Linked DNA regions of Saccharomyces cerevisiae S288C. The gene in region 3 interacts genetically with the main gene of each other region. Each region holds a gene or a part of one and is shown on either strand. Other genes may lie near its edges. The genes, in order: ISU1, PGM1, RPT3 and BUL1.

The links.
Region 1: mutations in RPT3 (region 3) and ISU1 together harm fitness more than expected from each alone (negative genetic interaction), as found in Saccharomyces cerevisiae (2 studies listed by BioGRID).
Region 2: mutations in RPT3 (region 3) and PGM1 together harm fitness more than expected from each alone (negative genetic interaction), as found in Saccharomyces cerevisiae (2 studies listed by BioGRID).
Region 4: mutations in RPT3 (region 3) and BUL1 together harm fitness more than expected from each alone (negative genetic interaction), as found in Saccharomyces cerevisiae (2 studies listed by BioGRID).

The regions. Positions count from the first base shown.
Region 1 is NC_001148.4:293,593-300,539, reverse strand, and holds ISU1 (iron-binding protein ISU1), read right to left. Parts: upstream 2,988-6,947; coding exon 2,490-2,987; downstream 1-2,489. Other genes in the region: gluconeogenesis transcription factor RDS2, read left to right, coding at 1-652; ODC1 (mitochondrial 2-oxodicarboxylate carrier), read left to right, coding at 1,037-1,969; protein phosphatase regulator GIP3, read left to right, coding at 3,893-6,947. UniProt on the Saccharomyces cerevisiae protein: Scaffold protein for the de novo synthesis of iron-sulfur (Fe-S) clusters within mitochondria, which is required for maturation of both mitochondrial and cytoplasmic [2Fe-2S] and [4Fe-4S] proteins.
Region 2 is NC_001143.9:201,703-205,753, reverse strand, and holds PGM1 (phosphoglucomutase PGM1), read right to left. Parts: upstream 2,214-4,051; coding exon 501-2,213; downstream 1-500. Other genes in the region: serine/threonine protein kinase YPK1, read right to left, coding at 1-47; PMU1 (putative phosphomutase), read left to right, coding at 3,983-4,051. UniProt on the Saccharomyces cerevisiae protein: Minor phosphoglucomutase isozyme that catalyzes the reversible interconversion of alpha-D-glucose 1-phosphate and alpha-D-glucose 6-phosphate. The mechanism proceeds via the intermediate compound alpha-D-glucose 1,6-bisphosphate.
Region 3 is NC_001136.10:1,260,118-1,267,605, forward strand, and holds RPT3 (proteasome regulatory particle base subunit RPT3), read left to right. Parts: upstream 1-1,563; coding exon 1,564-2,850; downstream 2,851-7,488. Other genes in the region: SHE9 (She9p), read left to right, coding at 1-1,154; SXM1 (Sxm1p), read left to right, coding at 3,207-6,041; negative cofactor 2 transcription regulator complex subunit NCB2, read right to left, coding at 6,249-6,652, 6,745-6,781; UTP5 (Utp5p), read left to right, coding at 7,354-7,488. UniProt on the Saccharomyces cerevisiae protein: The 26S proteasome is involved in the ATP-dependent degradation of ubiquitinated proteins. The regulatory (or ATPase) complex confers ATP dependency and substrate specificity to the 26S complex.
Region 4 is NC_001145.3:813,237-822,766, forward strand, and holds BUL1 (ubiquitin-ubiquitin ligase BUL1), read right to left. Parts: upstream 5,346-9,530; coding exon 2,415-5,345; downstream 1-2,414. Other genes in the region: ZDS1 (Zds1p), read right to left, coding at 1-744; RCE1 (CAAX prenyl protease), read right to left, coding at 1,128-2,075; ubiquitin domain-containing protein DSK2, read left to right, coding at 5,591-6,712; FCP1 (protein serine/threonine phosphatase), read left to right, coding at 7,020-9,218; phosphoribomutase PRM15, read left to right, coding at 9,527-9,530. UniProt on the Saccharomyces cerevisiae protein: Component of a RSP5 ubiquitin ligase complex which specifies polyubiquitination and intracellular trafficking of the general amino acid permease GAP1 as well as other permeases such as PMA1.

The DNA.
Region 1 (6,947 bases), on a different chromosome or scaffold from region 3:
GACACCGAAGGAACAATTCTTTTTAACAGCGGCGGATCCGTCAACAGAGATGACACCAGAACACCGGCTGAAGTTGGTCATAAATGCGAAGCTTGAAGCAGGATTATTGAAGCCGTATAATTATGCCAAGGGGTATGCAAGACTACAAGACTACATGGACAAATATATGAATCAGTCTTCCAAGCAAAGGATTCTGAAACCACTATCCACCATTAGACCGGCGTTTAGAACCATTGCGCGTTCATTGAAGGATGTTGACTTAGTTTTAGTGGAGGAGAGCTTCGAGAGGATGTTATTATCTTATGATCGTGTTTTCACCTCTATGAGCATGCCAGCGTGCTTGTGTAGGCGTACCGGTGAGATTTACAGAGCCAATAAAGAGTTTGCTTCACTGGTTGACTGCACAGTCGATGATTTACGCGATGGAAAGCTTGCGATCTACGAGTTGATGACAGAAGAAAGCGCTGTGAATTTCTGGGAAAAATACGGGTCCATAGCGTTTGATAAGGGTCAGAAGGCTGTTTTAACAAGTTGTAGTCTTCGAACCAAAGATGGAATCCGCAAACGGCCATGCTGTTTTAGTTTCACTATCAGAAGGGATAGGTACAACATCCCAATTTGCATCGTCGGGAATTTCATCCCTTTGTCATAAGCATAAGTAATACATAGTAGGTAATTGGTATTTCCAGCGTCATTAAAAAGCAAAGTAACGGGTTTACTTTTTCCTCAAGCCGCTGGCCCGAGCAGTTACTTGAAATAGCCGTATTACTACGAGCAATACGAAGACCTTTTTCTACCAGCATTTGTTTTTTTTCAAATCATTCCCATTATTACCCCAGGATCTTTTCATAATGCGGCGACCAGAGATAGGGAAAAAAACTGCGAACTGGCTGAATCTGATTTGGCGAAGGGCAGATTCTCGGGTATTTCTGTGAGGGTGACCGCCGTTGATATATATCAGTGACTTTTGGGAACCTTTATCTCATTTATTCTCAAGATAGAACTGTAACGAGGGTGAAAGAAAAAGAACTGTAAGATGACATCTATAGATAATAGACCTTTGCCGTTCATATACCAGTTCACAGCCGGTGCCATTGCCGGCGTCTCGGAGCTATTGGTGATGTATCCATTGGACGTGGTGAAGACAAGAATGCAATTACAAGTGACAACCAAAGGTCATCCCGCTGTTGTTGCAGCGAAAGCAGCAGTAGATCACTACACGGGCGTGATGGATTGTCTTACAAAAATTGTGAAGAAGGAAGGATTTTCGCATCTTTACAAGGGTATCACATCGCCTATATTAATGGAGGCTCCGAAAAGAGCAATTAAGTTCTCCGGAAACGATACATTCCAAACGTTTTATAAAAAGATTTTCCCCACGCCCAATGGGGAGATGACTCAAAAAATCGCCATATACAGTGGTGCGTCCGCTGGCGCCGTGGAAGCCTTTGTCGTCGCGCCTTTTGAACTAGTGAAGATTAGATTACAGGATGTGAATTCACAGTTCAAGACACCCATTGAAGTTGTAAAGAATAGTGTTGTGAAAGGTGGTGTTTTGTCACTTTTCAATGGGTTGGAAGCCACTATCTGGAGACACGTTCTTTGGAATGCCGGTTATTTCGGTATAATATTCCAAATTCGGAAGCTTTTGCCGGCGGCTAAAACAAGCACGGAAAAGACCAGAAATGATTTGATCGCAGGTGCTATTGGTGGCACTGTCGGGTGCTTGTTGAATACACCATTTGACGTGGTAAAATCTAGGATCCAAAGAAGTTCCGGGCCGCTGAGGAAGTACAACTGGTCCCTGCCTTCAGTGCTGTTAGTTTACCGTGAGGAAGGGTTTAAAGCATTGTATAAGGGATTTGCGCCAAAGGTCATGAGACTTGCCCCCGGTGGTGGGTTATTGTTGGTAGTTTTCACGAACGTCATGGATTTTTTCAGAGAAGTCAAGTATGGTAAAAAACAATGATCCTGACGCTTTTTATTTCATTTTGTTGTAGCCCGCCCATACATGTATACGTATATATATATATATATTTATTGGAAGTAAAAGTAAAAAACTCGCTTACCTAGCACATGTTTAAACAAGCGTTGAAATGAAGGAAATAATGAAAGTCTAGTTTTGTCTAGCGATAAATAGTGTTAATTAAAACAGCCTTTTACAACTAAAGAATATTTATATAATAATGATGCCATATACCACACATGGGAAAACAAATATATAAGGGGGAAGTGGGAGGATGAAAAAAGAGTAATGAAAATACTAGTAGTACCAGGTGAGGTAAAACAAGCACGTCCGTCCCGCTTTCACCCTGGAGAAATATATCTAGGAAGATATGCATGAGAAGAGGGAGAGAAAGGAAATGCTAGATTAAGGGAAAGAAATATGACAATATTAATGAGAAACATCCATGCTTGCACAAATTAAGTCCAACTTGTTGATTAGTGAGGGTTTGATCTTGTTCTTGTCCCGGTTATCTTCTTATTCATTACGATAACATGGTTGGAGTGTTTCTCTTAGATTTGTAGTCCTTAATAGCTGCCTTGATCGCATCTTCCGCTAACATAGAGCAATGCAACTTGACTGGGGGCAAGCTCAACTCCTTAGCAATTTCAGTGTTCTTAATTTTTGCCGCATCGTCCAAGGTCATCCCCTGTACCAATTCAGTCATATATGAAGAGGAGGCAATGGCGGAGCCACATCCAAAAGTTTTGAATTTGACATCTTCAATAACGCCAGTAGAGTCGTTGACTTTGATCTGCAACCTCATCACATCACCGCACGCTGGCGCACCCACTAGACCAGTGCCGACGTTGGGCAATTTTTTATCTAATGAGCCGACGTTTCTTGGATGTGTATAATGCTCTATGACCTTGGGATGATAAAGCCTTTTCGTTATGCTGGACGCTCTCAAAACCCCCATGGCATTCACAGGTCTGATGGCCATCAGAGCAGGCCTTGCAAATCTCGTTATAACAGGAAGCATCAGGTTAAATATGTGTTATGTGTTGTGTTTTCCTTATTCAATTGTTATATGAAGGGATGTTCTTATGGATTTAAGAATAATCTCTGAACACAAATATATATGCGGAAGAGCGAAGGAAGAGAGCAGAAAAGGCTACAACGAAACCCTTTCATTTACTTATATAAATAGCCTGAGTCATTTTTCCTCTCAATTTTTGCATCATCATGATCATACATGCTTTTTTTTTCCTTCTCCATGGCTAATTGGGGTGCAACGCACCTTATCGCCTTTGACGGCCTTGGCTAAGCGGAGATAAAGCCTCCGAACTTCGGCCCCGAAGGGATTGGCGCGGATATACACGGAAATAGCTTGTCATTTTTCCTTCGGTTGATGTCCGCGGACCGAGAAGTGGTGTTTCCACATTACGTCTCAGTGATGCAATCATCATGGCACGGGCATTAATTAAGGTTAAGGAACCACTTCTCTACGCCATACTCCAAACAATAACAATATTAGACCTAGCCAATTGATACCCATGAGCGTGCAGTCATTGCCATGGATTATTCATCTCTTTTCGCTGTTCTCTTTCTTTTCAAGTTTGTCATCATCATGCCTTCACTTTTGCCTTTCCATCTTTCTTTTTGCTGCAAAATAAAGGGAAGAGGGGTAAAAACGCAAGGAAGAACAAGAAGAAGAGGGTAGTGCAAGAAAAAGAAAAGAAGAAAAAAAAAAAAAAGTAATCTTGATACCGTGAGCAAATAAGCTAACGGAAAGCGTAAGAAAGAAGAGCGTGTTTTGGGAAATAACACCACAGCATAAAGCTAAAATTCAGTTTATATAATCTATAGTAGTCCTATAGAAATTGCGAATAACGGAAACAATAGTCCACCAAAGCAAGCATAGGGAGTGGAGATAGCATCTAGGTTATGATAACTAACACCGAGTTCGATGTGCCCGTAGATTGGTTGTATAAAGGTAAGAGTAGACGGAAGACAAATACGAAGCCATCGAGGCCTTCTACGTCGCCAGCCTCCTCTTCATCTACGTCCTCTTCGAAAAACGGAGACAATAGCACGAGTGGTAACAGGTCTAGCAATGATAAGCCTCGTGCGAGGTCGTCATCTGTATCCAATGCAGCACTTTGTAATACTGAGAAACCAGATTTGAAGAGGAACGATGGTAATACCTCTGCATCAGACACTGATAACATACCGCTACTTACTCCTATTAATAGCGGTAACCGGAGCGATTCCGCTGACATTGATAATCCGGCTACCGTAGACGCCATAGACCTTATAGATAATGATGACAACGGCTCAAGTACTCAATTTGTAAGGAAAAAACGTTCCACTTCTATATCCAATGCTGTGGTCTCGTCCAAACCAAGACTGGCCAGTTCTGCCATAAACGCCACCGCATCTTCTTCTGTTGGCAAGGGAAAGCACCCGCCAATTTCTTCACCATCTAATGCTACTCTCAAGAGAAGCAACTCGACTAGTGGAGAAAAGACTAAAAGGTCGATTTTTGGATCTTTGTTTAGCAAACGGTCTACCTCTTCTTCAGCTTCCACTGCCAAGAAACCATTACCTGTTGTTAATACTAGCACGACTGAGAATGAGTCTGGTGGCATTAAAGCAGTTGCGACTCCTGATCCACGGGTGAAGGAGATATCATCACCAATGAGAGGAGTGGCACCAACAGCTAGCAAGCCACAGACACCTATACTCCCCTCCCCTGCACTTGCAGTAAAAGACCTATCTACAGTTTCATTGAAAAGGGTCTCGTTTGCCGTCGATAAATTCGAATCCGATCCTCCCCAACAACTTCCTTCAAGAACCCCAAAAAAGGGAAACATCCTTATCCCTGATGACATGATAAGCGAGGTTCCTTCTATTTCCGTGGGTATTTCCAGTAGCAACCAATCGGCCAAGTCAACCAATTCCAACATTAAGGGACCGTTGTACACTAAGAAGTCTAAAGAATATATACTCGCCCTGGAAAATCAAAAGTTGGCTTTAAGGGAGGCTGCTAAGCATCAGCAAGAAGCTCATTTTGCTGCTAATAGAATAGCCTTTGAAGTAGCCAATTTTAAGACTGCTTCGGATGCAGGCGGTAAGCTTACTGAAAAGTCATCAGAAGGCACCATTACGAAGCAAAGAGAAGAGGTGTCACCTCCAAATGTTGAAGCTGATCGGGAGCTTGAGAATAATAAACTTGCAGAAAACCTCTCAAAAGCCGGCATTGATAAGCCCATTCATATGCATGAGCACTATTTCAAGGAACCTGATCAAGATAAGTACCAAGACGGTCATTCTATTGAAAATAACGAAGTTACGCTGGATGTTATTTACACAAGATGCTGCCATTTAAGGGAAATTTTACCCATTCCGTCTACCCTAAGACAAGTAAAGGACAAGACAGCTCCCTTGCAAATATTGAAGTTTTTGAACCCTAAGCCTACCTTGATCGATATTCTTTCCTTTTGTGATTTCATCACCATTGCTCCCATTCACACGATTGTTTTCGACAATGTAGCTTTAAACCAGGATATGTTCAGAATAATTATTTCTGCTTTGGTAAACTCCACAGTTTTGGACAAATTGAGTTTAAGAAATGTACGAATCGACCAAGATGGATGGAAATTACTATGTAAGTTCCTTTTGCTAAACAAATCACTGAACAAGCTCGACATTTCCCAAACGAAAATCAAATCTGACCTTGCTGAATCACTATATCGCCATAACATGGATTGGAACTTGTTTACTGACGTCTTGTCTCAGAGATCTCACAAACCTATAGAAGAATTGTTATTCAATGGTATTCAATTTAGCAAAATTCCTTACTCATGCTTTGCACGTTTACTGACATCCTTTGCTACCCAAAAAAACTTTCCAGAATCGGGCATCAGGCTTGGTTTAGCAGGTGCCACTACTTCCAATATCTCTCAGGATTGTCTGAAATTTATCTTCAATTGGATGTCTCAATATAACGTCCAGGGTGTGGATCTAGCGTTTAATGATCTGTCCACTATGATTAAGCCAATGGTTGGTAAACTATCTGCTCTATCATATGATAACTTAAGATATTTCATTTTGAACAGCACTAATATTTCGACTTCTTATGATTTAGCTTTGCTCTTGAAATATCTTTCTAAGTTGCCTAACTTGATTTTTTTGGATTTGAGTAATTTGTCGCAATGCTTTCCTGACATTTTACCCTACATGTACAAGTATTTACCAAGATTTCCGAACCTGAAGAGGATACATTTGGATAGCAATAATTTGACATTAAAGGAACTAGCTGTCGTTTGTAATATTTTGATTAAGTGCAAATCGCTCTCGCATGTGTCAATGACTAATCAAAACGTTGAAAACTTCTATCTAATGAACGGCACAGATTCTCCCGTTCAACAAACTAACACAGACGGCGACTTGGATAGTTCGAGCACATTGGACGTTAAGGGCCAATTTGCTAAAAATAGTTTTTCATCCACACTTTACGCATTTGCTAGAGACTCTCCAAACTTGATTGGTTTAGATTTTGACTATGATTTGATATCAGAAGAGATTCAATCAAGAATAGCACTGTGCTTGATGAGAAATATGAAACGGACCATGGATTCGACTTTCCAGTTAGATGAATTGGATTCGCAAGATGATTTGCTATTCGATGGCTCTTTAGTAACTATGACCGCTGAAAGTGTTTTAGAAAAACTGAACTTGTTAAGCGATAAGAGTACAAAGGTCAAAAAAGACACCACGAAGAGATATTTGCTGAAAAAATATATTGAAAAGTTCCATATCTTGCACCATAATGTTCAGCATACAATAGATACTATGTTCGAAAAAAGGAAATCAGGTGAATTGCCATTGCAAGAAAAAGAAAACCTTGTAAGATTACTCCTTTTGGAACAAAACTTATGCAATATACTAGAATTGTTTTCGCATAATCCGAATCTGAATGATGTCCTTGGATCCAGCA
Region 2 (4,051 bases), on a different chromosome or scaffold from region 3:
TCTTCTTTAGATTTTCCAAACTTAAACTTTGACTTCCAAGAATACATTTTCAGGAACTGTATTAATGTTTGTTGATATGAGAGGAACTTTGAAGTGTCAATTTCCCGCTGTATACAAAGAAATTGTAGAGTAATCTATATCAAAGAATATAAAGGCTTTGAAATTTAACCAAACACAAACAAACCAATTCTAAAAAGTATGGGAGCGAAAAATAACTCAACTGTTGTTGGTATGACGATAGTGTTGATTACCGTTGGCTCGTTCGGGATAAGCATTTTTTAAGCCTTCCAATAGGGGCATGTTTTGATCTTGTTTTCCTGTAGCGCGGCTCTGCCGCGAAGAAAGTCGCGAGTAACGAAAAACAAAAACAATGTTGTATTATGAAGCTAATTGATAAGTCAATCAGCAAAAAATAGATATACTACATATATCCTCTACATATAAATTAAGATCAGTTAAAACATCTTTGGAAAATTAGTGCTTGTTCAAGACCAATAATTCTATGTGCGGACTGTTGGTTCGTCTGTTCCTAAAATTTCTTTAAATCTTAAGAATTTTACAATGGAGTTGATGACGGGTTTCAAGAAGACGTCAGCTGTTTGGCCATAGTTCTCCTTTTTATCAGTATACTTTTCTACGTATAATCTTATTGTTGCACCAGAACTGCCTGTGCCGGATAACCTCAAAACAAATTTAGTCCCATTCGAAAACTTTACGAAAAGGCCTTGATTTTCAGAGATGGAGCCATCTAGATCTCTATACGAAAAATCACCACAATCGATAACGGTTAAAGACTCATCAGCTGGGAAGTGGGAGCCACAAACGTTTGGCCTTGATACAAATTCACTCAAAAGAGCTACAACTTTTTCGGCCTGCTCGCATTCGATATGTTCGTAATCGTATCTTGTGAAGAAAGTACGGCCATACTCGTTCCAAAATTCGTCCTGAATAGTTTTGATCGAAGCTTCCTTTTCAGGGTTACGCCTATGGTAGATAGCCAAGATATTTAACCAAGCAATAATGGCCCATAGACCGTCCTTTTCTCTGATATGATTGGAACCTGTACCGAAGGATTCTTCACCACAGATTGATAGCTTTTTAGCATCAAATAAGGCACAGAAGAATTTCCAGCCGGTTGGAACTTCGTAACATCTTAATCCCTTTTTTGCTGCAACACGATCAATGGCTGAGGATGTAGGAAATGAACGTGCCAAGCCATAAATACCTTGTTTGGCGAAGTATGGAATTTCGGGTGCATATTCGGCAATAATGGCAACAGAATCACCTGGCGAAACGAAAGCAGGGCCATAACCGTAAATCATATTCCTATCACCATCACCATCGGAGGCTGCTCCAAAGGCAATTTTTTCGCGGTCAACCCTGTCAACAAGAGTTCGTGCATAGGTTAGATTCGGATCGGGATGTAAACCGCCGAAATCAGGTAAAGGGTGCCAATTTTGAAGAACTTCCTCTGCCGGTAAACCAAATTCATCAACAAATATAGCCTTACCATATGGTCCTGTAATACCATTTAAGGAGTCAAACAACAACTTCCACCCTTTGTCTTTGCGCTGTTTCGCTAAGAAGCTTTTAATTAAGTCAAAATCAAAAATTTCCTTCAGAAATTGAACGTATGCTTTGGCAGGATCAATTATGTCCACTAACAATGGGCCATATTTTTGGTTTTTACCAAGCTTGTTCAAATTCAACTTGGGGAAGTTCTTTATAATTTTATAGTGAGTTAATTTTTTAGACGCTTCCCAGATAGCGTTAGTGACACTCTCTGGAGCTGGCCCACCATTAGGTAAATTATACTTGATACCTAAATCATTCTCTGGACCGCCTGGGTTGTGTGAGGCAGTTAATATGATACCACCACCGGTACACTTTTCCTCGTATGTTCTAATTATATGAGAAGCAGCTGGTGTTGAAAGTAAACCGCCTTGACCAATGACTAACTTTCTGACACCGTTTGCAGCACCTACTGCGGCAATCTTGTTCATGATAACATCGTTGTAGAAACGACCATCTCCTCCAACAACTAAAGTGGTTCCCTCTGAGCCATTAGGGATAGATTGCATTGTTGCTTGAATGAAGTTCTCAGTATAATGAGGCTCATCCATGAAAACCTTGGTCTTCTTACGTAAACCTGAAGTACCCGGTTTTTGGTCCTTATAAGCAACTGTTGGTACAGAATCTATTAGAAGTGACATTTACTATTCAATTGAGTTGTTAGTTACCTATTTTTGCACTATTGAACCGAAAGTGGATGAGAGAGAGAATGTTTATAGGTAGACCAAAATCGATGTGATGCGCCCTTCTCCTTTTCTTGCATCCGTAATATAAACGCGAAATACCAGGTAAAAAAAGACAAAATCTCAAATAGCGAGAATGCCGATTTTAGAACATCATTTTTCTATTTACAAGTATAGCATTGTCGGTACTGAATGCCCTTATTCCTCATGACAGACTGAAACCACCGTGATACAATTGTGGTAACGTCATACATTTGACATTTATCAGGGGAAGACAGAGATCCTCTACTAGGTCATATGCGGGATAAAAAAATCTCCACGTCAATAGTGTAAAATTGTAAATAAAACTGTGGGCATTGCTGTTCTCGAGAAAAGCTGCCACTTGTGTTTGAACGGTGTCGGCTTTAGCATCCTGTTTTAAAAAGAAAGCCCTGTAGGGGGCTCGAACCCCTAACCTTATGATTAAGAGTCATACGCGCTACCGATTGCGCCAACAAGGCTTTTAAACGTGATTGTGTTGTATCTCAAAATGAGATATGTCAGTATGACAATACGTCACCCTGAACGTTCATAAAACACATATGAAACAACCTTATAACAAAACGAACAACATGAGACAAAACCCGACCTTCCCTAGCTGAACTACCCAAAGTATAAATGCCTGAACAATTAGTTTAGATCCGAGATTCCGCGCTTCCACCACTTAGTATGATTCATATTTTATATAATATATAAGATAAGTAACATTCCGTGAATTAATCTGATAAACTGTTTTGACAACTGGTTACTTCCCTAAGACTGTTTATATTAGGATTGTCAAGACACTCCGGTATTACTCGAGCCCGTAATACAACAGATTGATACGACCGTTAGAAATCGATAATAGATTCTCTATAATAGGCTCATTATAATAACTACTATCCCTAAATTCACCTATTTCTCCATATCATGTACGGCAAGTTTTTTTGAGAAGAAATTTATTGTATTTTATACTTCACAATAATGCTTTTAGTAAGATGGGATCAGAACAATCATTACAAAATTTCATTTATAGTTCAGCGATAATGTTCTGAAAAAGTTTCAATTCAATTCACGTGAGGACAATAACACTATGTACAGTAGATAACTTAAAAGTTCTTCTGCCGCGTTTTGGATAATTTCACGAGGGGAAATGGACAATTTTACTTAATACTGCTACCATTTCTTCCCTCGTTTATATCCTTTCATTCATTGCTGGGTTTGCATGGTCAGTCCTTACTAATTAGCTTCCTATAAACTCGATGACAGTTAGGACGCTCACGGACAATTATATTCTGAAAACACAAGTAATACTATTAATCTTTTGTACCAACAATTGATTAATACCAAACTCTTATTCCAAACAAAAGAGGTTCGTACTTAGCCGGTCAAACCTGGGCTGCGAAAAAGTCCGTGAAAATTAAGAAGAGGCTCAGTGTTTTCAGATGAAAGCGATTAAAATTTACAGATATTATCTTCTATTGCGTGGTTGTGCAACGTTTGAATAAATATTTGTAATCCTAATTTCTTGCAGATTCGGATATGACCCAGCAGGCATGTGCGAGTCAAGTTAATTTTTCGGGTGCTAGCTAGTACTGGAAAAAGTAAAAAGTGTCATTTGCAAAAAAAAACCCTCGAGAGATTTGTATGTTATTTAACGATTTCTTTCCAAGACTCTGCTGCGTGAAATCACCAACAGTTATTCAACAATGTCACTCAGAGCAGTCCCAGGATATTTTGCTGCATATCCAAGTGAGGGTTTTCAAGGATTAGACTCC
Region 3 (7,488 bases):
TGAAAAAGAAATTAAATGAATTGTATTCTAGGTTTAACTTCCACCGAGATCAATTATCCTTTCAAGTTAACAAGGCCAAAAAATCAATTCAAGAGGCAAACAGGAAGTTGTCTGAGCAAGAGAATGAAATCAACGATTCCCGTTTAAACTATAATAAAGATGAATTGACCAGTGCGAAAATTGAAGGATTGCCCTCCGAAAGGGAACAACATAGAAAAAAATGGTCTAGAAAGTTAGAGTTTTATTTTGACTCATTACAGGAGACGTTATTTACTGCCACACGTGCTTTAAATGATGTGACCGGTTATTCTGGAATTCAAAAGCTCAAATCTAGCATCAGTCTAATGGAAAAAAAATTAGAAGCTACAAAGAAAGAACACAAACTGTTTAAGGCACAGTACGCTAACGCCATTGATGAACGTGCTCAATCCCAAAGAGAAGTTAACGAATTATTGCAAAGGCAAAGCGCGTGGTCTTCGAGCGATTTAGAGAGATTTACGCAGCTATACAAAAATGACGCCTTGAATGCTAGACAGGAGCAAGAACTAAAAAACAAGGTTAAAGAAATTGAAAGCAAAGAAGAACAACTAAATGACGACTTGTATAGAGCAATTTTGACCAGGTACCATGAGGAACAAATATGGTCAGACAAAATCCGAAGAACATCCACCTGGGGTACATTCATCTTAATGGGTATGAATATATTCTTGTTTATTGTCCTACAATTACTATTAGAACCTTGGAAACGGAAAAGGTTAGTAGGATCGTTTGAAGACAAAGTCAAAAGCGCTCTCAACGAATATGCCAAGGAGCAGAATATGAAGATGGATAAATTGTTACCTGGAAAATCATCGGAAGTAACAGACCAAGGCAACACAGAAAACTCGATCGTTGAAGAGCACATAGAACAGAGAGGTGAATGTAAAATTAATACGGCGGAAATCGACAGGCCTGAAGTTGCAACGGCTGAGACCACTACAACAGAAATGAAATCCTTCAGAGATATTTGGGAACGAATAAAGGCACTTTTTGTCACACTAAAAAGCATACAATATAGGAAACTTGACGCTCCCCTAGTCTTTGACACCTTAGAGTTCTACTTATACTCAATTTCTTTAGTGAGTATGACAATCTTGGTATCCGGGCTGATATGACATGATATACTGCGCAAGAATATCGTTAAAAAAACACGCATGCATTTTTTTCATCCTTTATCCTTGTACATAATAAAATCATAAATACACAGTAAATAGCACGTTTTGGTTTCAATATCCTTAACCTTACCTAGCTAATGTTTAGCTGGTGTAATCCATTATAATCAAAATTTCTCTAATGTTTGGCTCTTCGTAGCGCGCGATGTGCCCTTTCATATTTTTCCTGAAAGTAAGGTGGCAAAATAGTAAATCTGCAGTAATTGGGTATAGCCATGAATATAGGAAGTAATAGGGCTCAGATTCTCAGTGTGTGGACAAACCAATTCTGCCTATTTCCTTTCACTCATAAGTTATACAAGAGGCAATCGGATAAAATTCAAGTATTTATAAAGTAAAAACCACAACAAGAATGGAGGAACTAGGTATTGTGACACCTGTCGAAAAGGCAGTCGAAGAAAAACCAGCCGTCAAATCATACGCATCATTGTTGGCTCAACTCAATGGTACAGTCAACAATAACAGTGCCCTGTCTAATGTGAATTCTGATATATATTTCAAATTGAAGAAATTAGAAAAAGAGTATGAACTGCTGACTTTGCAAGAAGACTATATTAAGGACGAACAACGCCATTTGAAACGTGAATTGAAGAGAGCTCAAGAAGAAGTAAAGAGAATCCAGTCGGTTCCATTAGTTATCGGGCAATTCTTAGAACCTATTGATCAGAACACAGGTATTGTTTCTAGTACCACAGGTATGAGTTATGTCGTTAGAATATTATCAACCCTAGACCGTGAACTATTAAAGCCATCTATGTCTGTAGCTTTACATCGTCATTCAAATGCTTTAGTTGACATCCTACCACCTGATTCCGACTCTAGCATATCCGTAATGGGCGAAAACGAAAAACCTGACGTCACTTATGCAGATGTTGGTGGGTTAGATATGCAAAAGCAAGAAATCAGGGAAGCCGTAGAGCTGCCATTAGTTCAGGCTGATCTATACGAGCAAATCGGTATTGACCCTCCTAGGGGTGTTCTATTATATGGTCCACCAGGTACCGGTAAGACGATGCTTGTTAAAGCCGTCGCCAATAGTACAAAAGCTGCATTCATAAGAGTTAATGGCTCCGAATTTGTTCACAAATATCTTGGTGAAGGTCCAAGAATGGTTCGTGACGTCTTTAGACTCGCCAGGGAAAATGCTCCATCCATTATATTCATAGATGAGGTAGATTCCATTGCCACAAAGCGTTTTGATGCTCAAACGGGTTCCGATCGTGAAGTACAGCGTATCCTGATTGAGTTGTTGACACAAATGGATGGTTTCGATCAATCCACCAACGTTAAAGTCATCATGGCTACAAACAGGGCAGACACATTGGACCCAGCTTTGCTGAGACCAGGCAGATTAGATAGAAAGATTGAGTTTCCCTCACTTCGTGATAGGCGTGAACGTCGTTTGATTTTCGGTACCATTGCCAGTAAGATGTCCCTTGCCCCAGAAGCGGACTTAGACTCGCTTATTATTCGTAACGACTCTCTATCAGGTGCTGTTATTGCAGCGATCATGCAGGAAGCTGGTTTAAGAGCAGTGAGGAAAAACAGATATGTCATCTTACAAAGCGATCTGGAAGAAGCTTACGCCACTCAAGTCAAGACAGATAATACCGTCGATAAATTCGACTTCTACAAATGATTACCATATATGCTTCAACGTAGGTCTACATAAAGTATTACGTACATTTCTATCTAGACAACACTAAATGAAATAAATACAGACGCCACTTTTTTATCACGTTTCTTAGCGTTATTCCGCGCGCAACCGGACGTCGCTAGCCAAGTTTTTCACTTTTTTTTTTCTGTGATATTTTTTTTTCCAAATGAGATGGTAAGATGAGTACCTATCAACAAGTATCTCAATCAATAAAGTACAACCAAAATATCAAGTACGCAGTCTCTGCTTCATCCCAGTGTAGATTTGCTATTCGATTTGTGTCATAAACATTTAACATTGCGCCCGTCTACAACAAAGGAGATAAATCAAAAAAGGAAATGGTACAAGAACAGGCAATTTTGAGCTGCATTGAGCAGACTATGGTTGCTGATGCAAAAATTATCAAAGAGGCAGAACAGCAGTTATTTGAGTTCCAGAAGCAACCTGGGTTTACTTCTTTTCTGCTTAATATAGTGTCTGATGATAATTTTGCGCTAAATGTTCGTCTTTCTTCTGCTATTTATTTGAAGAATAAGATTCACAGATCATGGGATACTAAGAGAGAAGATGGTATAAAAGCTGACGAAAAGCTTTCGATCAAGGAAAGGTTAATCGAGACTTTAGTTAAAAACTGTGAAAATAACCACATTAGGCCTATCCTGACTGAAACCATAAATGGGATACTTGTTGGTCAGGAAGATTGGGATTTAGCACCTATTATCAAGAATTTATTATCGAGCGGTGACGCATCGTACATTTATCCCGGGTTACTACTACTGTTCCAACTTTGTAAAGCTCATAGGTGGGACATGGTTGGGTCGAGAGATTATATTGATTCTGTTATCGAAGAACTTTTCCCTATTGTGGAAGGGATAGCTTCTAATATCGGTAGTCAAACGGATTACAGATCTAATGAAATATTGTACCTCATTTTGAAGTCATTCAAGTATGCATGTTTGAACAACTTGCCTCAATACTTCAGCCAACCTGAAAGAATTATGTCATGGGTGCAACTACATTTGTATTTATGTTCCAAACCATTACCAGTCGAAGTAATGGAACTGGATCCCGCAGATAGGTCCCTAGACAAAAGGGTTAAAGTGAACAAATGGGGGTTCGGTAACTTAAACAGATTCCTGCAAAGATACAACAAAATTACAAAGGCCATCACCAAGGAATTTATCGACTATATCTTCAATACTATTGTTCCTATAATTCTTCGAGAATTTTTTAAGGATATTGAAGCTTGGGGTAATAATTCACTATGGTTATCCGATTCCTCTTTGTATTTCTTAATTTCATTCCTAGAGAAATGTGTTACAATAGATCAACTTTATCCTTTAATTGAGCCACATTTACAAATTATTTTTGAGAACGTCATCTTCCCATGTTTGTGTGCTAATGAACAATCCATCGAATTATTAGAAGATGACCAAGAGGAATATACCAGGCGTTATTTTGACATTAACAGAGAAGGCTCTACGCCAGATGCTGCTTCAGCAGATTTCATATTCTTGATTGGGTCCAAACGTCCTGAGAAACTGAACAATATTTTACCGTTCATTAATGATATTTTTACTAGATTCGATGCCAATTCCAGTGATATTAACATGGCATTTAAAGAAGAGGGTGCTTTGAGAACATTGTCTAACTTGTTTTCGTTTATAGATGAGCCATCCGTTCTGGAGAATATTTTTGGACACTTCATCGTGCCATTGTTATCGCAGGATAAGTACATGTTTTTGGTTGCAAGAAGTTTGGAAACGATAGCGCTGTATTCGGAAGAATTTAAAGATATGAACATATTGTCACAATTATTTGAGTTAACATATACCAACTTCTTAAACAGTAACGTTTTACCAGTCCAAATTGAGGCCGCAGATGCCATTAAATGTTTAATTGTATCCAATCCTCAAATCCACCCAGCGGTCTCTGCTCATGTTCCAGGTATGATGGAAAAGCTATTGAAATTGTCTAAAATCTTTGAAATCGATATCTTATCTGAAGTCATGGAAGCATTGGTGGAGAGATTTTCAGATGAACTATCCCCATTTGCTAAAGATTTAGCTTCAAACCTAGTCGAACAATTTTTACGTATTGCTCAAGCATTGGTAGAAAATCCATCGGAAACCTACAGCGCAAGTGACCAAGAGCAGGAAATCCAGGCCAGTGGATTGTTACAAACAATGACTACTATGGTCATGTCAATGAATAAAGTTCCATTAATCGAGTCCTTAGCTCCCGTGGTCAAGTTTGTTGTACTTCATGCACAAATTTCTTTTATTACGGAAGCTGTCGACTTACTGGATGCTTTAACTATTTCTTCGCATCTGCTTTATAACCAAATTGCACCACCAATATGGGAGTTGTTACATGATATATTGGATTCTTTCCAAACTTATGCCATGGACTATTTTGAGGCCTACAGTATTTTTTTTGAAACCATCGTGATGACCGGCTTCCCACAAGATCAAACTTATGTTCAACCTCTGCTAGAAATTCTCTCTGCTAAACTGGAAAGTGAAGTTGACTACGACATCGAGCATGTTATGCAAATTCTAATGTACTTCGCACTGTCCATGAGAGACATTCCATTATTCAGCAAAGCCATCAAAGTATCCACTAATGATGAGCTAGGATTGGACTCTAAATGCATCGTTAAACTGGGACTGGCCAATTTGTTTGCTAAACCAATCGAAACTTTACAAATAATGGAAAATGAAGGTTTTACTATAAATTTCTTTACCAATTGGTTTAATGAAAAGTTCTACAGTGTCTTCGCCATCAAATTACAAGTCCTGGTCATTTTAACCCTTTTGAAGATGCCTGAAGTTCCTAATAGTGTCAGCCCACTACTAAATAACCTGACCAATAAACTGGTGGAATTGACATTATCATTGCCAAAGGCAATTAGAAACCGTGATGCTGTTACCGAGGGCAAATCCTTAGAAGGAGACCTGACCCCAGAAGAAGAAGAAGAATACTTTATCGAATGTGATGATGATATGAAGGAGACAGTGTTAGACCAAATTAATGTTTTCCAGGAAGTACATACCTTTTTCAAGAATTTGCAAAACGAAGATGCCGGTAAGTACGAAAAAATCATAAATTATCTGGATGAATCTAAGAGAGATTCCTTGCAGGTAATTCTGGAATTTGTTTCTCAACACTGAGGAGAACACAAAAAAAATAGTGGAATGTGATAGTTTGAAATAAGGATATTAGTTTATACTCTAATATACAAATATAAAAGTTGTTTCTTTTTCGTTCTTTTTTTTTTTTGGACTTGTCTTCGTTTTTATTACATACATGCATGCGCTTAACATATTCCCATGTGGTTTATTTTCGTATATAGCATTACTTTGTTTAGAAGCTTCTATTCAAGAAGAATCCTCCGACTTAACCGGATCAGATACACTATTGTGGTGTAATCTGGACCTTGACTGTCTAAACAACTCCTCTTGTTGTCGTAGCAGCTCTTCTTCCGAGAGACCTGACTTCTTGAACTTGGAATCCCTAGTTTCTTTCACCTTCTGGGAACCCTTAAAATTCAATAATATTTCCTCTAAGAATGGTATAAACTCATTATACTCCAACTCTTCTAGCGCTTTGATCACGTGCTCGGGCGCTATGGTTTTCTTAGCCTCGTTGTCCGCCATTTCGGAAGCCATCGAGGACAGGATCATTATGAATTCTATGCCGGAGTTGATGATGATTTCTCTTGCATCCTTGGTAAACATCAAATCCTGGTCCAGTATTTCAGATATCATCTTTTGTACGGTCGCTAAGATCATTCAGTGTTTTCTCTAAGTTAGTATAACCGCTCAGTACCCGCATCAAAGCTTGAGTTTTGCAACAACAATATAACTAACATACCCTTGGGAAGCGACACATTATCGGAGTCTCCAGCCATCAATTAATTAATAGGTACAACTGTATTAGTAAATATCGTTATGATTTCTTGCCCACCTTATACTGGTAACTCTGCACGATAGAAATCGACAAGGCGAGCAGAGGGCGAAAAGCGCGACCAAAAACCGCTTCCATTTATATAGGAGGGAGAGTGCAGCGGGCTGGGCGTTTTAAAGTGGTGCAAGAGTTAATTGCACATACTGGAATACGCCAAAGATAAGAGCCCGAGCTGATTAAACCAGATCGTAATTTTTGCGGCGACTATTCGCATGAACAGGCTATGCTGCATAGTGGTGGCATTTCTTTACAATAGTTTTGGTTGAACGTGTTGTACAGTTCCCCTTATTCTTTGATTGTCATTTAACACGGGGATGAGCTTCTTGACAAAAAAATTTTATCCAATTTTTTTTCATTTCTTTTTCTAATCTTTCGCAGCTGAAGCGATGAGGTGAAAAAATTAACAAGTATTGGATAGGATATATGTATGTAAAGATAGATGCAGAGCATATATAGTTTAAACTTGGCTTAGCAAGAGGGTAAAAGACACATTTGCCTTATAATTGTTCATTACCGATGGATTCTCCTGTTCTACAGTCCGCTTATGACCCATCAGGTCAGTATTTGTGTTATGTCACTGTAGCTTTGGACAAGCAACGCGTTGGTGTACAGCCCACTCAAAGGGCCACTTCCTCCGGAGTTGATACAGTG
Region 4 (9,530 bases), on a different chromosome or scaffold from region 3:
TTCGTTATCATCAAACTCTGTATATGACCTCCGCAATGTTGAAGGCCTTCGTATTAGTGACGCGTTTCCATGCCTTGACAGCCCCCTGTTCAAGTTGATAGTGTTGTTCTCCTTATTTTCATATGATTGTGATTCTTTATCCTCCCCATTATCCTCAATATCGTTATTTTCATTGCTATTCCCATCATTATCTTCACCATTGTCGCTTAGTTGTATATTTTGTAAAGTATCTTGTACAAGCTCTAGGAAATTATCAGGCTTAACGTTAGGGTGTTGATTGGCGGGAACCCATAATAAGTTTTTCTTTAATACGTTAGCATTTAATTTCCTGGATGGAGAGTGAACACCTTTTTTTATACCTAAGTAGTTACCTTGTTTAGTCTTATTGGAGGATTCTATCCCTGAGTTACCCCTCCCATGCAAGTTCTCTAGCGGAGTTGGATCGCTATATCGTGTGTTATTAACGGTGGTTGTGTCACTTGGCATTGACGCAGAACTGGATGTCGTGCCAGACCATGATCGTCTCCCACTAGATTCCCCACCGAATTTTATATCTAATTCTGGATCAATAAGTAAATCCATTGACCCAATCGACAATCTTTTTAGGTTTTTTACGCTGCGGATTTCATTGTCAAGGGACTGTGCAGCAATCAAAACTTCAGACTTCCGTTTATCCCTTTGACTAGCGATCGCCTTATCGCTTGATGTAGTACGCAGCATGCTCTCGTTATCTCTATTGGACATTATAAAAGACAGCTAAATTCTCCTTTGAATTGAAAATATGTAACCCACAAAACAAACCAAAACTAACTAAGACCTTAAATTCTAGGAGACCAAATAAAAACCTTAAAAAAAGAAAAACGTCGAAACCTATTAGATGCCACCTTCTCTCTACTCTTAGATCTGACAACTTCAATACCACTGACACGAACGACTTGTTATTGAGTCCGTAATACAAAGTATAGGTACTTTATAGTCCTCCAAATTCTTTCACCAAAACACCAAAACTCGATTTTTTCACTCTTCCGTAACAAAAGCCCGGTCGCTCGATAGAATTCCATAATAGTAGTGAAAAAAGGTTATAGTACATAGGAAATTTTAAACGGTATACAAGTACGTAAAAAAGGCTAAAGGGTTATTCTATAACCAGGAGTTCCTACCAGAGTTTGTAAGGTATCCTTCAGGGATATTAATCCAAGGACCAGCAGTGCGAAGTAGCACTTATTCCAGATTGAGACCAATTTGGAAATGCGTCCAGCTTTCTTGTCTACTACTGTGAAATGTAAATTCAATCTTGAAGGACCAGGAAACCCCATGATATTGCAAAGGGCATGCAGGATTATGCAGCACCATAGGTTCCCGCCTGTTCTTACGAATACAAACTTGGTTAACCCTCCAAAAAGTGTTGTGTATAAAATTTGGAAGCATGTTGTCAGCAGAATGGAAACAGTTGTCATGGAGCCTTCCTGTAATTGCTCATAAGCATGGTGTGCGTGCGCAAGTCCAAAAAAAAGCGATGGTTGCCAAAATAACTGTTGATAGCTTAGTTGCGAATGCGGTATTAGGTTTAAGTACGTAGTCAAAAGCATTGACGTGTAAAATATTTCCTCAGTTATTGGTGCAAATATAAAATTCCTGAAACTCCAAATATTCAGGAATTCATGGTAAAAATCTTCAAGTATAGAGCTCTTTGGATTTAATAAATGATATAATACAAAATCTAAAACGGGTCCACAATATAAGGTCAATAACATCGCAACACATTTCGTTAAGTCTTTCACGAACTGGCTGAATTGCCAAGGGTTTGGCAATGCAGCGTAATAACCTGGGATAATACCTAAGCCTAAAAATGCGTCCTTGAAACTTATATGTGAAGTGGTACTAGATAATTGAGATTGTAAAAAAGGCACCAAAAAAAGGTTGGAAATTAGCATAATTGTAAGTTTTTGCATGCGAGATTTAATCGTTCGAGGATTATCTCGTTTAGACCCTTCTGGTTGTGAAGTTGCATATAGCGGTAGCACATAGGATATGGAGATGTATAGGAGCACTAGAAATGTTGAGAATTGTAGCATTGCTGTTCTGGTTCTCTCTATGACAGACAGTCAGTAGTCAAAGCATCAATTTATTTCGTTTTATTTTTCTTGACAAAGAAAATTCTATGTTTTGTTCCTGAAATCTCGATATTTTAGTAACTTAAAATAAAGGTAATAAAATCATCAAAGGTTTTCCATCCAGTGGTCCAAAAAAAAAAAAATACAGAAGCAACAAAAGAGCACCAGAAAATGCATTTTAAAAGAATTTTATTAATAATAGGGAATACAAAGGACGCGATAAATACCTTCATCTATAAGCAAACCATACATATATCTATATCTATAAGAAAAGTAACGAGAATTTTTTCTAATGTTTTTTTATTTTGTCACTTGCCTAACAGAAATAGGGATATCAATCTTCGCTACGCCAAGATGGTTTTCAAATTTAATCATTACTCGAACGCAATAAAACCTACAACATAGGCAGCTTTCAAAACTTGGAATTAAAGTTTCCTTAATGTCCTTATTAAATTCCAAGTTCACATTAATGTCTCGTTTGTACTGTAAAGGAGCAATCCTAACCCATTTATGAACAATCTGGTCTGTAAATTTCAGGGAAGTAGACGAGCTACCGCTAGGTAAAAATAAACTACTCTTGGATGAAGAAGTTACTGGCGTTAATGACGCTGAACTGGGCGACGATGAACTACCGTTACCTGTGTGCGATATTGAATCCTCAGATAATGCGTGCTTTGAGTGTTGTTTTAGGGTACTGACCTGTTTTTTAAAAATGTTGGATAAGTTGTGAACACTAACTTTCAAGTTGCAAATGCTTTCGATATCGTTAAACAGCTGTGAAGTAATAAAATCTGTAAATTTCAGTTCCTTTGGCCTACGGTCTCCCCTATTCATATTATATAACTCATTTAATTCAAGAAAATTCTTGTTGAACTTGGTTTCATATTCACAAATTTTTGAATGGAAATCATCGTACAAAGCTTTGATGCTTGTCAGCTTCTCTTTGTTCATCAACAGTTCAGAATTGAGTTTTATTGGGATAGAATTATCAGATTTAGCAGTTATACATATCAGTTCTGTGGTAATCGATTGAATTTCTGGCGGATCATGAGGTAAGCTATTATCGGATTCTATGCAAGTCAATTGTAAATCAAGTTTTTCCAATGGTTTTTTTACGTCTTCCGGAATCAACTCAGACAATCTCACCCAATTTTCTTGGTCGTGTTTACTCTTAGATTCAAAAACATTGGTCTTTCTCAATAATGAGGGAGCCCAATATGGTAGGCCCTGTTTTGGAATTTTCGCCTTTACTAGTATTAGCCCTGTCCTTTCTTTATTTCCCGTTAAATCATGATTATTCTTTCCCGCATTTGAGGAAGAGGACATTGAGCTGGAACTGCTGTTTAAAAAATGAGAGAAGTTCAGAAATGAGGAGGAATTGGATTTGTTTTTCAGTTTATATTTTAGTTCACTTTCAACAAAGGGACCCCAAGCTCTGGAAGTATCGGTATTATGACCACTATTTCCACTGCGGCCATTGTCCAAATCGTGGCCCAACTTCAAATCGTTATAGTTGACTAAATAGTTATTTCTGTTCTTAATGTGCAGTTGGTCCAATTTCCTCTGCAAAATTTCTTGGGAGTCTGATTCAATAGAATCATCAATGGTACCACTCAAGTCTGCACCGTGAATGTCGCGGTTCGTTATGGGTTCTTTTTTCTCTAATCTCTGAAAGATTTTTCTAAGAGCATCCAACCTTTCCTGCACTAGTTTGGTGATATCATTCAGCTGACTCATAGTGGTTCTTTCTCCGACGACATTGGCGTCAAAACCAAAAGGGATTACTCTTAGATTATATTCTCTTTCCTTCATAATATACAGTTTAGAGGCCTTTTGATCTTTACCGACAATCCTTGCATCAATAGTGTAATTGATCGAAAGGTTGTCATCAGACATATCGTTAGTTAAGATGGGGGAGCCCTTTGTACCTAAATGACCGCACCCAAGTACCCTATTGACTTTGATACCGGAATATTTGCAATTGTTCCTATATTTATCAATACCAAAACTGGGAGGTAACAAACAATGAGAGAAATGCTCCTGCTTACAAGTGACATCTAGCAATTGCAGTGGCAATTTGAAAATGAAGAATTTCTTGTACTTGACTCCGGGTTCCAGAACCCGGCTATTGTTTAGCCCAAATACAGAACCATCGTAGTCAACATCTGCGGGAATGAAGTCCACACCGGACCCCAGTGCTATTTTCGAGTATGACCAAGAAGCGCTCAAGTCTACCATCCTTAAAAACCGTTTAATCGTTCTTTTACTCTTTACTTTATCAATAATGGAAATGTAAGACTCTAAAGTGACATAGAACATTTCAAACTTTAGGTTTGCTTGAGATTTGTTTTCAATAGTGATAAAACCATGAATCAAATCCCCCGACGTATACTCTTTCAAAATGGACTCCTCCTCCGGCTTCACGTGTGGTATAGGTGCATGCTTCGTCGTCTTGATGGTGATTTCGATGGGTGTGGACATTTTTGGTAAAGTGTACAATTTGTCGATGAAAATGTTGTCTGTATCGTTCAAGTCATCAAGTATGGGAGGTATATCCAGTGAATCTTCATCGACAGCGGTTGATTGATGTGCTGCAATACTGTGATGTTCGGTTCGAAGGGGAATTAAGTTTTCTAAATTTGATGTTGACGAAGAACGTGTGGCACCCAATGCGTCAGTGGACAATGATTGATGTGAGAGATCAGCGCTCGAGCCCGCAGCACCTGTTGCAGTAGAATTATTGGCCTCTTGGTATGAAGGTGGGAAATCATGCCTATCTGGATCGACGTTGCCCTGCGGAATGTGCCTATGCAGGGTATTGTACATCTCAAATGAGGGCAGTACATCAACAACATTGTTGATATCTCCGTCGGTCAAGGACCTTCCGGTCTCGACGGGGGTCGCATTTGCAGTTGATCTTCTCAAAGGAGAACGATTACCTCCAGCAGGCGTTCCGGTGGAAGGAGCATGCGAATGAGAATGTGCTAGTTCGGGACGTCTTAGTCCAAGGATCCCCGTAGCAGACGCGCTTCTTATCCATGATTTTGGAGAGTGTAACGACGGTGACCTCGAACTGCCTTTACCACCCTCTTGTTTCTGCCTACCACGCCCCCTTGTGTTTGCATTAACGTTCATAGTTGTCGAACTATTTGCGGTAAAATCAGATCGTTGAGGACGCAGCAAAGGCTTCCTCTTCGGTGGAAACCCCGAATCGTTCAAATCTTTGGCCATTTAGCGTACGATATACCTGTTGACACACACGAACAGTCTCTTTTCGCCCTTGCTAAGAGCTTCTTTCCATAATCACTATGCGGCTCTTCATTGCAATACTTTTATCATTATTAAAATAGCCTCTGAGAGCGGGTCACGGCCCGCTGAAGGGAAAGAACAATTTAAAGCCAGTTTTAAGTTCAATCCACCGATGGACGAGAGGCAAATAAGACGGATCAAAGACACCGAATCATTCTAGCACGATAATGTCGTTGAATATACATATCAAGTCAGGACAAGACAAGTGGGAAGTAAATGTGGCACCTGAAAGCACAGTGTTGCAATTCAAGGAGGCGATAAACAAAGCGAACGGTATCCCGGTGGCAAATCAGAGATTGATCTACTCGGGTAAGATTTTAAAGGACGACCAAACCGTGGAGTCATACCACATTCAAGACGGTCACAGCGTCCATCTGGTCAAGTCACAACCCAAACCACAAACCGCCAGTGCCGCTGGCGCAAATAACGCCACCGCCACCGGTGCAGCAGCTGGCACTGGCGCCACCCCGAACATGTCGTCAGGTCAAAGTGCAGGCTTCAATCCGCTGGCCGACTTGACCAGTGCCAGATACGCTGGATATTTGAATATGCCATCTGCAGACATGTTTGGCCCGGACGGTGGTGCATTAAACAACGACTCGAATAACCAAGACGAGCTGTTGAGGATGATGGAAAACCCCATCTTCCAATCGCAAATGAACGAGATGTTGAGTAACCCTCAGATGTTGGACTTTATGATCCAGTCCAACCCGCAATTGCAGGCCATGGGTCCACAAGCCAGGCAAATGCTACAAAGTCCCATGTTTAGACAGATGCTCACCAATCCTGATATGATTAGACAGAGCATGCAATTCGCAAGAATGATGGACCCTAATGCCGGTATGGGCTCTGCAGGTGGGGCTGCCTCTGCCTTCCCCGCTCCTGGTGGCGATGCTCCAGAGGAAGGCTCCAACACGAACACTACTTCCTCATCCAACACAGGGAACAACGCAGGGACTAATGCAGGTACCAACGCAGGCGCTAACACAGCTGCAAACCCATTTGCGTCTCTTCTGAACCCTGCATTAAACCCCTTTGCTAACGCGGGAAACGCTGCATCCACCGGGATGCCCGCCTTCGATCCTGCATTGCTAGCGTCTATGTTCCAACCCCCTGTACAAGCATCTCAAGCAGAAGACACCAGACCACCGGAAGAACGCTATGAACATCAATTAAGACAACTAAACGACATGGGCTTCTTCGATTTCGATAGAAACGTCGCAGCCCTCAGGAGAAGCGGTGGCTCCGTCCAAGGCGCTCTTGATTCACTACTGAACGGCGATGTTTAAATAAACGTCTAGATGCCGCAACCTATATACTTTTACCCTACTCTATCGGCATATATTTAATCTACGTATTACATGTATCCATCAATAATATCATCATAATATCTGGACACTTTTGGAAGACGCGCCCTTGCGAAAGAAAAAAAAAAATTTTCGTTTCACACCTACAGTAATAAACACATAATAACAACGAGCTAATCATCCCAATCAATCACCCCTTCCCCCTTTAATTAGCAGCCAGGGTACTGTATTTAGTCATATAGCGGTACTTGCATTGACCGCGAACGTGTAAACACAAGCAAAGCAGATTATGACCACACAAATAAGGTCTCCCCAAGGCTTGCCGTATCCGATTCAGATCGATAAACTCATTCCAAGCGTAGGTTCGTACCTTCATGAGGGTGATAGGTTGCTTGTCTATAAGTTCTGGTATTTGGTGGAAAGGGCCTCAGACACTGGTGACGATGATAACGAGCACGATGTTTCCCCCGGCGGCAGCGCCGGAAGTAATGGTGTCTCTCCGCCAACCAAACAACTGCGTGAATCCATAGAATTCTTCGAAAGTCCCTACGAGGGGGACTTGATTAGTTGGAATGTAGACGTAGGAGATGAAGTAGCCACTGCTAACCAAGTGATTTGCGAAATAAAAAGGCCATGTAACCATGACATCGTGTATGGCGGGCTATGTACTCAATGCGGGAAAGAAGTTTCTGCAGATGCCTTCGATGGTGTACCACTAGACGTTGTCGGGGACGTGGATTTACAGATTAGCGAGACAGAAGCCATTAGAACAGGCAAGGCATTGAAGGAGCATTTGCGACGGGATAAGAAACTTATCTTAGTGGTGGATTTAGATCAAACCATCATCCATTGTGGCGTGGACCCTACGATTGCAGAGTGGAAGAACGACCCCAATAATCCGAATTTTGAAACATTAAGAGACGTCAAGAGCTTTACGTTGGATGAGGAGTTAGTACTCCCACTTATGTACATGAATGACGATGGTTCTATGCTGAGACCGCCTCCCGTAAGAAAATGTTGGTACTACGTGAAGGTAAGGCCCGGTTTAAAGGAATTTTTCGCTAAAGTGGCGCCTCTTTTTGAAATGCATATCTACACAATGGCTACAAGGGCTTATGCCTTGCAAATTGCCAAAATCGTGGACCCTACGGGCGAATTGTTTGGCGATAGAATTCTGTCGCGTGATGAAAATGGGTCTCTAACAACTAAATCATTAGCTAAACTTTTCCCCACTGACCAGTCAATGGTTGTAGTTATTGACGACAGAGGTGATGTTTGGAATTGGTGTCCAAACTTGATCAAAGTTGTTCCTTATAACTTCTTCGTTGGTGTAGGTGACATTAATTCTAATTTCTTGCCCAAACAATCTACAGGAATGCTACAACTAGGGAGGAAGACAAGACAGAAGAGCCAAGAATCTCAGGAACTGCTGACGGATATTATGGATAACGAAAAAAAACTACAAGAAAAGATAGATAAAGAAGTTAAACGCCAAGAAGAAAAATTGAACCATCAACTGGCGACTGCTGAGGAGCCTCCTGCGAACGAATCCAAAGAAGAGTTGACCAAGAAACTAGAATATTCAGCATCTTTAGAAGTCCAACAACAAAATCGACCCTTGGCCAAACTACAAAAACACCTGCATGATCAAAAACTACTAGTTGATGACGATGATGAACTATACTACTTAATGGGTACGCTATCAAACATTCACAAAACTTATTATGATATGCTCTCACAACAAAATGAGCCAGAACCAAATCTGATGGAAATCATACCAAGTTTGAAGCAAAAAGTCTTCCAAAATTGCTATTTTGTTTTTTCAGGATTAATACCCCTCGGGACCGATATTCAAAGGTCGGACATAGTGATATGGACGAGTACATTTGGTGCCACTTCCACTCCAGATATAGATTACCTGACGACACATTTAATCACCAAGAACCCTAGCACTTATAAAGCGCGTCTAGCGAAAAAGTTCAACCCACAGATTAAAATTGTTCACCCAGATTGGATATTTGAGTGTTTGGTAAATTGGAAAAAGGTGGATGAAAAACCCTACACGTTAATCGTGGACAGCCCCATCTCCGACGAGGAATTACAAAACTTTCAAACACAATTACAAAAAAGACAAGAATATCTGGAGGAGACCCAGGAACAACAGCATATGTTGACATCACAAGAAAATCTAAATTTATTCGCTGCTGGTACTTCATGGTTAAACAATGACGACGATGAAGATATTCCGGACACAGCTAGCGACGACGACGAAGATGACGACCACGACGACGAAAGTGATGACGAAAACAACTCGGAAGGCATTGACAGAAAGAGGAGCATCGAGGACAATCATGATGATACATCACAAAAGAAGACCAAGGCGGAACCTTCTCAAGATGGTCCTGTACAACATAAAGGAGAAGGGGATGACAACGAAGACAGCGATTCGCAGTTGGAGGAAGAGTTGATGGATATGCTGGATGATTAGCAGCTCAGATGCCGTATCTTTCCACACATTTTCCTCATTGGTCTTTGTACCTATAATTGTTCATATTATATATACGTTTGTAACAAATCGATAAATAGCAACAATATTTTTGCTTATTTTGATATCCTGAAATCCTTTTTTTTTTTTTTTTTTTTTTTTTTTTTTTTTTGATTTCATTTCGTTTTTTTTTTTTGAACATTATATATTGTATTGTTTTCTCCCTGTAGCGAGAACTAATTGATTCTTTCTCCTTTCCCCCTAAATACTCAACAGTACTCTCGAGCCATTAGCTGCTGCAATTTCAAAAAATGT